Linked DNA regions of Daphnia pulex. The main gene of each other region encodes a partner of the protein of the gene in region 2 in a complex. Links are inferred from orthologs where the notes say so. Each region holds a gene or a part of one and is shown on either strand. Other genes may lie near its edges.

The links.
Region 1: the proteins of paired amphipathic helix protein Sin3b-like (region 2) and sin3 histone deacetylase corepressor complex component SDS3-like are in contact, whole or in part, in an NMR structure (PDB 2N2H), measured with the Mus musculus proteins. The link is inferred for Daphnia pulex from reciprocal best matches to the Homo sapiens genes SIN3A and SUDS3. Residues at the interface, in NP_001103821.1 of Mus musculus: Glu616, Glu619, Leu620, Val623, Arg672, Ile673, Tyr674, Ala675, Lys677, Asp680, Ile681, Ile691, Ala692, Ile695, Val696, Arg699, Met702, Lys703, Glu706, Trp707, Glu709, Ala710, Phe714; in NP_848737.3 of Mus musculus: Ala205, Leu207, Asn208, Tyr209, Leu210, Leu211, Gln215, Ile216, Glu218, Asp219, Leu220, Thr222, Leu223, Leu226.

What each region holds. Positions count from the first base shown.
Region 1 is NC_060026.1:2,507,351-2,510,871, reverse strand, and holds sin3 histone deacetylase corepressor complex component SDS3-like, read right to left. Parts: upstream 2,589-3,521; 5' UTR 2,375-2,588; coding exon 2,191-2,374; intron 2,122-2,190; coding exon 2,055-2,121; intron 1,989-2,054; coding exon 1,875-1,988; intron 1,811-1,874; coding exon 1,609-1,810; intron 1,543-1,608; coding exon 1,238-1,542; intron 1,181-1,237; coding exon 1,070-1,180; intron 1,009-1,069; coding exon 927-1,008; intron 859-926; coding exon 763-858; 3' UTR 615-762; downstream 1-614. Other genes in the region: unconventional myosin-XIX-like, read left to right, coding at 1-327, 387-485; ubiquitin carboxyl-terminal hydrolase 30-like, read left to right, coding at 2,809-3,124, 3,187-3,476.
Region 2 is NC_060024.1:9,524,486-9,528,137, reverse strand, and holds part of paired amphipathic helix protein Sin3b-like, read left to right. Parts: coding exon 1-451; intron 452-581; coding exon 582-736; coding exon of another isoform or gene 737-781; intron 782-3,652. UniProt on the Homo sapiens protein: Acts as a transcriptional repressor. Corepressor for REST. Interacts with MXI1 to repress MYC responsive genes and antagonize MYC oncogenic activities. Also interacts with MXD1-MAX heterodimers to repress transcription by tethering SIN3A to DNA.

The DNA of each region.
Region 1 (3,521 bases), on a different chromosome or scaffold from region 2:
TCCGCTGCGCAGCTTCTATTGAAAGTCGGACAGATAAGTAATTCCGTTCGCGTCGTTCAACGAACCGTCCGTCGATGGCTCGCCCGTGTCAGAGCGCGCAGAGCAATCAAGCAGCTACGTGCTCAGATTTCTTGTCCTCCTCCTGTCGCTCAAATTGATGAAAATTGGTGTGATTCAAATACTACGTTGAAAGTAGTCAGCCTTAATTGGGCAGAGAACAACAATTGTGCCAAACCGACCCAGTCGCCGAGTCTAATCTCTTTACAACTTTCACGCCTTAACTATTTTTACAGCGTCGGAGTCATCTCGATACGACGGCCTCCATCGGTATTTTATTCTTTTCTCTAAGAATCGATCGATTTTCTAATGTTTCACTTAAATGACAGGTCCGAGCCCGTTTTATAACCCGAAAAACGTGCCTTCCATTCTCCTTCATTCCGCCTAAAACACAACTGCCTACAGGACTAACAGACGCCTACTTATAAAAATAAATGCATGTACTATAGAATTATAATTCCGTTTAACACACACATCAAAGGGACCACAAAACTCCCTAGTCTTAATAAATGGTGTAGGACGAGTGAGTGATAATAAATTATGAAAATACGAGTGTCTGATATTGCTTTCCTCGGTCTAAATAGATACCGTAGGCGCGGAACAAAACGCTGTCCTTTGTAATCGGGAATTAAAGTCACAATTAACAATTTCGTACACACACATACACGCAAAATAAATGAGTAGATGATGCCGTTGTTAATTAGTTTACGGAGCTTTGCGGCCGAGGGTATATTTTCCTCGGCAAAGCTGCCAGATGGAAATTTTCACTTTGCCTCCATCTGCTGGACGACGCACCCAAACCTACAACAGGGAAAATTTAAAATTGAGTCTCCATTTAATCGAAATACTAATTTAAAAACTGGCATTACCGCTTCGGTTCCGATTGCGGAAATTACACCTGCAAAACGGGCCTTTTTGCCTTCAACTTGAACCGTTTGCCCTCGATGGTACCTGTTAAAACATAGGCGGATTAACAAGAGGGTGAGAATAACAGTACAAAGGGAAAACTTACCATCTTTTCTCGTAAAAAAGCTTTCCATCTTCAACTCGAGCCTCGAATGTTGCTTGATTCTCTCCGCTGTTCCAACCAGAGTAGCCGTAAGATTGGCCGTGCACTGGGGATCTATTAGACATGAATTTTTACTCACTGTTTTCTTTCTGAACTATTCAATCAAATTACCTTGATGGTGACTGGTCAGATTGTCTAGCTGGGGAACTGTAATTGCTCCGTCTATTTGAAATGCCATTGTTAGTTCCTCGAACTGTCGAGGGTCCATTTCCACCTGCCGAGGTCTTGGTTGGTGCGGCTCCAGATGCACCACGTTCAATAGCTCTTAAATCATCCACAACATCATTCTCATCAAGAAGATAAGCCAATTGAGCAGGAGCTAACTTCCTTCTTTTGTCAGAAGTGCCTGAGGAGGAGTTGACGTTGACAGGATCGTTAGGACGACGACGTAGTTTTCTTGTTGTTGGCGCTTTGATCTGTTGGAACGAAAAGTGAAAGGATAAAGAATGGAAAAGAAAAGAAATGTCAGCCAAATTACTCACTTCCATGGAGTCTCCTGTGAGCTCAATGGTAATTCGTTCCGTTTCTACGTGACGCTTCTTCTCTTCCAGCTCGGAAATAAGATTTTCTTGAAGCTCGATTTTTTTATCTTCCAGTTCTCGGGAAGCCGACTGTTTTTCGCTGATATATTCCTCTTCTGCTCTTACCATTTCATAGTCCTTCCACACTTCATTTAGCAGCAGTCTAAATTACAGATTTGAATAATGCATTATGAGTCACACATGAAATGCTTCAAGCAATCAATTACCTGTCTTTGTAGACTGTTTCCAGCTTCTTTAATTTTCTCAGATAATCAGGATGAAGGCCTTGTTCAAGTTGTTCTAACTGTTGTTTCAAATAGGCCAACTTGTCACGGTAAATCCTACAAACAGGATGAGTTATTTTAAAACCAATCTCTCTCTTTGGACAAGAGATATTTCAAACTTACTGTTCTCTCATTTCCGTGTACTCATCTTCCTTTTTCTGTTGGTCTGTTTCACTGGCATCTTCAGTATCTAAACTCACAAAAGTGGTTTAGAACAATGCAAGCAAAGCATATACTTGGAAATGTGTTTTACACTCACCTTCATCACTAGGCTGTAGTTGCGCTCTCTCACCTTGCCTGATGAGAGCTAGATCTTCTTCAATACCTCTAACATTAGAGAACTGTGCAGCACTGATTTCTTCGACAAGGCTTGGAGCTGTGCGACTGTAGGGGAAACTGGACGATCCCCGTGATGGAGACCCCACGTATGCCATTTCTCCCATAACAGTCTTTCTCACACTTAAAACTGAACAAAACGTGTCCTATATTGATTTTTCCCAACCAGCAGACCAGCTGTAAATCTCCTATGAAATGAACATACAATCACTAACACTAACTTGTCACAATTTCCCCAAAATACCTTTTTCTTTTACAACAAAAACGAACGAATTTCCCCCCAGTCCAACCGACACTATGCTTTCTAAACAGCTGCTTCTGCTAGTAGCGAACGAATCGATTTGAGAAAATATCGATTGCAAAACTAATCGATATTTCGTTTTCATAACAAATGCTCTAAAATTCTGAATCGTAGGATTAAATTGTTTTCTAACTTCTAAGTTTGTTTCCCATTTTGAGTGTTTGTATAATTAAGAGCTGTAAATGGTATGGTGTAGTTTGGTGTACATACAATGATCTAAAAAAATGTTTCACTCCTGAAATGTTAAAGTCATTTGTAAGACAATACTGGTTAACTGGGGCTGCTACAATTGCAGTTGTTGCATCAGCGGCATATTATGTGGCTATTGGTGAGCCAGACAACTTTCAAAATGTGAAGAAGCCGAAGAACAAGTCACGAAACAAATTAGCTGGCCTAGTGAATGAGGGAAATACTTGCTTCATCAACACCACATTACAGGCATTAGCGTCCTGCCCCATCTTCATTTGGTGGATTGATTCAATTTTGGCAAAACCATCATCAGATGCTACAGGAAACTGCCTGGAAACTACTTCTAGCCTAAATTTGACAATGGCTGGTGAGTTTTGTTCTCTCCCCAATCTTCACACACCTGTTAATAATCATCTTTTGAATTAATAGTCATAAACAATCAGCATCCAACAATTACTGCTGATTTATTCAACACAAGGCAATTAATTCAGTCATTAGAGAAGCATGGCTGGAACCTCAAGTCAGAAGAACAGGATGCACATGAATTTTTTAATATGTTGTTTACCACCATTGATGAAGAGATCAACAAGAAAAGCAAAATTGTCAAAGGCATATCAATTGATGAGCAGGATACTACTACTGTATGCCATTCAATTTCATCTTCACCATTTAGAGGCAACTTGGCTAGTCAACTCTGTTGCTTAACATGTGGGCACAAAGTAATTTAAAAATGGTGAAATTTTAATTCCCAATAACTAATTTTC
Region 2 (3,652 bases):
GAACATGGGCTGAAGGGTTCTTCGAAAGGCATGTTGACCGAAGATGGATGCAATGACGAAGGAAAACAATCTGCGTCTGAAATGTCTTACCAGCGAAGAATGGAACAGTTACTAGCTGACGAAAACCTCTTCAGAATTGTTTTATGGCATAAGAACGAAGAGACAACTATCGCAATTGAAATGCTGGACACGGATACACACTCCAGCTGTTCAGGAGACAATCCTCCTTTGCAAGATGTGCGTAACTGGTCAAATTACGTCGAGGGCTATGTTTCAGATCGAATGGATCAAGTTATGTCGGAGAAAACCAGACGAAAAAACACGGATCCGTCGTTGATCGCAGCCCATTCCCGCGTTAGAAAACCAGTCTTCCTGCAAAGAAATCTGAAGCAATGGGAACGACGTCGTCGGAAAGATGGCACCGCTAAGGCATCGCGTTCCAAGACTTCCGGTAAGATATTTAGATATTATCTTGAGCATGTCGTGAGTGTTGCAAACCTTTAATTAAGCCAATTGTTCGCATTAATTTTGGTTGTCAATGAATGAATAATTATTTTGCATTCTTTGTATTTTGTTTTTAGATGTTCCCATGGATGTGGACGACACCACACAGAAGGACGTTACAGTAAGCGAGGATGCCCATTGTGTTTTTAACGTCAATTCGTATCAAATGGTTTTTGTGGCCAATAGCGAGAGCGTCCTGTACAAGAGACATGCATTCACTCGAGCCAAACAGGTTTGTAACCATAAAAACGTGTTTCAATTAACCAAAACAGCTACTTACAGTAGCTACACAAAGTTTCCGCACAGCTGAGAGAAGCTAATGGGAAAACGGGTTTTTTGAAAATTCGCCAAAAATCAAGTTTTCGTCGGACGAAAACGATTTTTGGACAGGGGGTTCTTAGAGTTAAGGTGTATAACATATATTTTTTGGGGATTTTTTCGTTCACGGGAACGTCCCTTTTAAATTGGAGGTAAAAGTTTCCGCACAGTCGAGAGGGCCAGTAGTAAATCGTACTACTTTGGCTCTCTTGTACTGGACGGAAAATAGGGCTAGGAGAGTTCTTTAGGGCTTAAAAAAAAGAGCATCGTTAGCTCTATAACCTCATCTGAAATGTTGACCCCCATGCAATTTGAAAAATCATTTTAATTTTGAATTGAAAATGACAATTTTCCACTTCTAGAAAAATTTCACCCTTTTCCCCCCGCGCGTAGTTGCCAGTTTTAAAAAATGTCTACTTTTGTAATCGTAGGGGGAGAAAGAAAAAGATAGCTACGACGGCAGCTTCCTCCGCTAGAGGCACTGGGGTTAAGAGGCTGGGGTAGAAAAAAATGCGAAAATTTGAAAAGCTTCCTAGCCCGCTAATTTAAATATTTTTCTACGTTTTCTTTTCCGAAAATGAAAAAGTATGATTATTTCTCATTACAAAGTATTCGTTCTAGTCGTCAACACTTTCGAAATGACTCGCGGAAAACGAAAGGATCTTTCTGTCGAAGAAAGATCTCAAATTATATCTTATCATAAATTAAAGTTCTCAGTCAGGCAAATTAGTTCTTTAACCAGCGTGAAACCATCAACAGTGCAAGACACTATAAAACGATTTAAGACTACTAATAGCTGTGAAAGTTTGCCTAGAAGTGGACGCCCGGCACTGTTAAGCCAGGCTGATAAACGCTATCTGAAGTTATGCGCTCTTCGTGATCGTCGGAAACCTTTAAAAGTGATTACCGAGGAGTTTAATATGGGTAGAAAATTTCCTGCTTCTCATTCGATTGTAAATAAAACTTTACATTCCTGGCATCTTTTCGGAAGAGTTTCTGCTCGTAAACCGCTGCTAAGTATGAAAAATATTAAAAAACGACTTGTGTTTGCAAAGAAACATGTCAAATGGTCAAAGACACAGTGGAGAAAAGTGTTGTTTACGGATGAATCGAAATTTGAACTTTTTGGGACCAAAAGAAGAATGTACGTGCGTAGAAGACCCGGTGAAAAATTCAATAAAGAGTGCTTAACACCCACCGTGAAATTTGGAGGGGGCAGCATAATGGTGTGGGCTGGAATATCAACCCAAGGTGTAACGAGAATGAAACGTATCGTGGGAATCATGGACAAAAAGATGTATCATAGCATATTGGTACACACTGCCGTTCCGGAGGGAAAACGCTTGATCGGAAGAGGATTCGTATTTCAAGAGGATAACGATCCTAAACACGCGTCCAAATACTGCCGAAATTATTTGGAGACAAAAGAAAAAGCTGGTTAGTCTTAATTTTGTGGTTCTACGTTTCCCCTTCACTAACTATTTGTTACAAACTATTTCATGTAAGGGGATCTTGTGCGGATGGTTTGGCCTCCGCAAAGTCCCGATCTCAACCCCATCGAGGCTATGTGGGACTACGTTGACAGTAAATTAGATAAGACTCAACGTTCGTCACAAGATTGCATTTGGAGGAACATTGAAAAAACCTGGAAGGCTATTCCTCGAAAAATTCTCAGAAAATATATTTTCTCCATGAAAAAAAGATGTCGAGCAGTGCTAATGGCTAAAGGAGGTCACACCCGCTATTAACATACGAATGTAGTGTTATAAGTTATTTGGGTAATAAAAGTACTTGGAAAATGCCTTTTTTTCACCTGTATAAAGTTTATTGTTCAGAGTAGAAGTAGCCTACAGAGTTAAACTATTACCCACTCACCATCAGTTTCAACAATTGAATTTAATTGTTGAGGGAGAGACTGAATGATGTTGACAATGAAGCCTTCTGCTACGAGAATTTCCCACATTTCACGAATTGCATTCCATAGATCGTCACAGTTGAATACAAATCTTTTAGCCTGCTGCAGTCTCTTCAAAATCTCTCGCCACACTTTCTCCAAAGGCATAAGGTCCCCAGATTTCTTTGGCCATTCCTTCATGACATTAATGTTGTTGGCAGCAATAAAGTCACGGACAGACTTTGCAGTGTGGACCGGAAAATAATCATGAATATAGAGTTTACTACCAGCAAGGTGTGGCAACAAATGACATCGCAACAACTTCAAATACTGGGCTGTATCTAATCTGCCATGTAGTTTTTCCAATGCTTGTACTCCATCGGCACTTGCACAGCCCCATACAGCAACTGTGTTGGGGACATTTAGTCCATGGGAACCACCATGAAAAGTTATTTGCCCACTGCTATCGAATCTACGAAAATAAATTATAACACGAATAAGTCATTTGTGAAATTGTACACTACTAAATAAACCTACGCATATCGTTGCTCGTCACCGAAACAAGCGTTGGTCCAAAATTCTCCAACAGACTGGTCTAGGTGTTTCAAAGCAAACTTCTTTCTTTCTATCTTGTTGTCGGGCTCGAGAATGGGGATGAAAGAAGCCATATTGCTAAAAGAGCAATCTCTTCAAAAAGTTAGAATTCGAATTGCCGTCAAGTCACAAACTGACAATTCACAACAAAAAGTCGTAACAAACGTCTGCTACACAGGCCTAGAATTTCAACCTTTCAGTGCCTCTAGCGGAGGAAGCTGCCGTCGTAGCTATCTTTTTCTTTCTCCCCCTACGATTACAAAAGTAGACATTTTTTAAAACTGGCAACTACGCGCGGGGGGAAAAGGGTGAAATTTTTCTAGAAGTGGAAAATTGTCATTT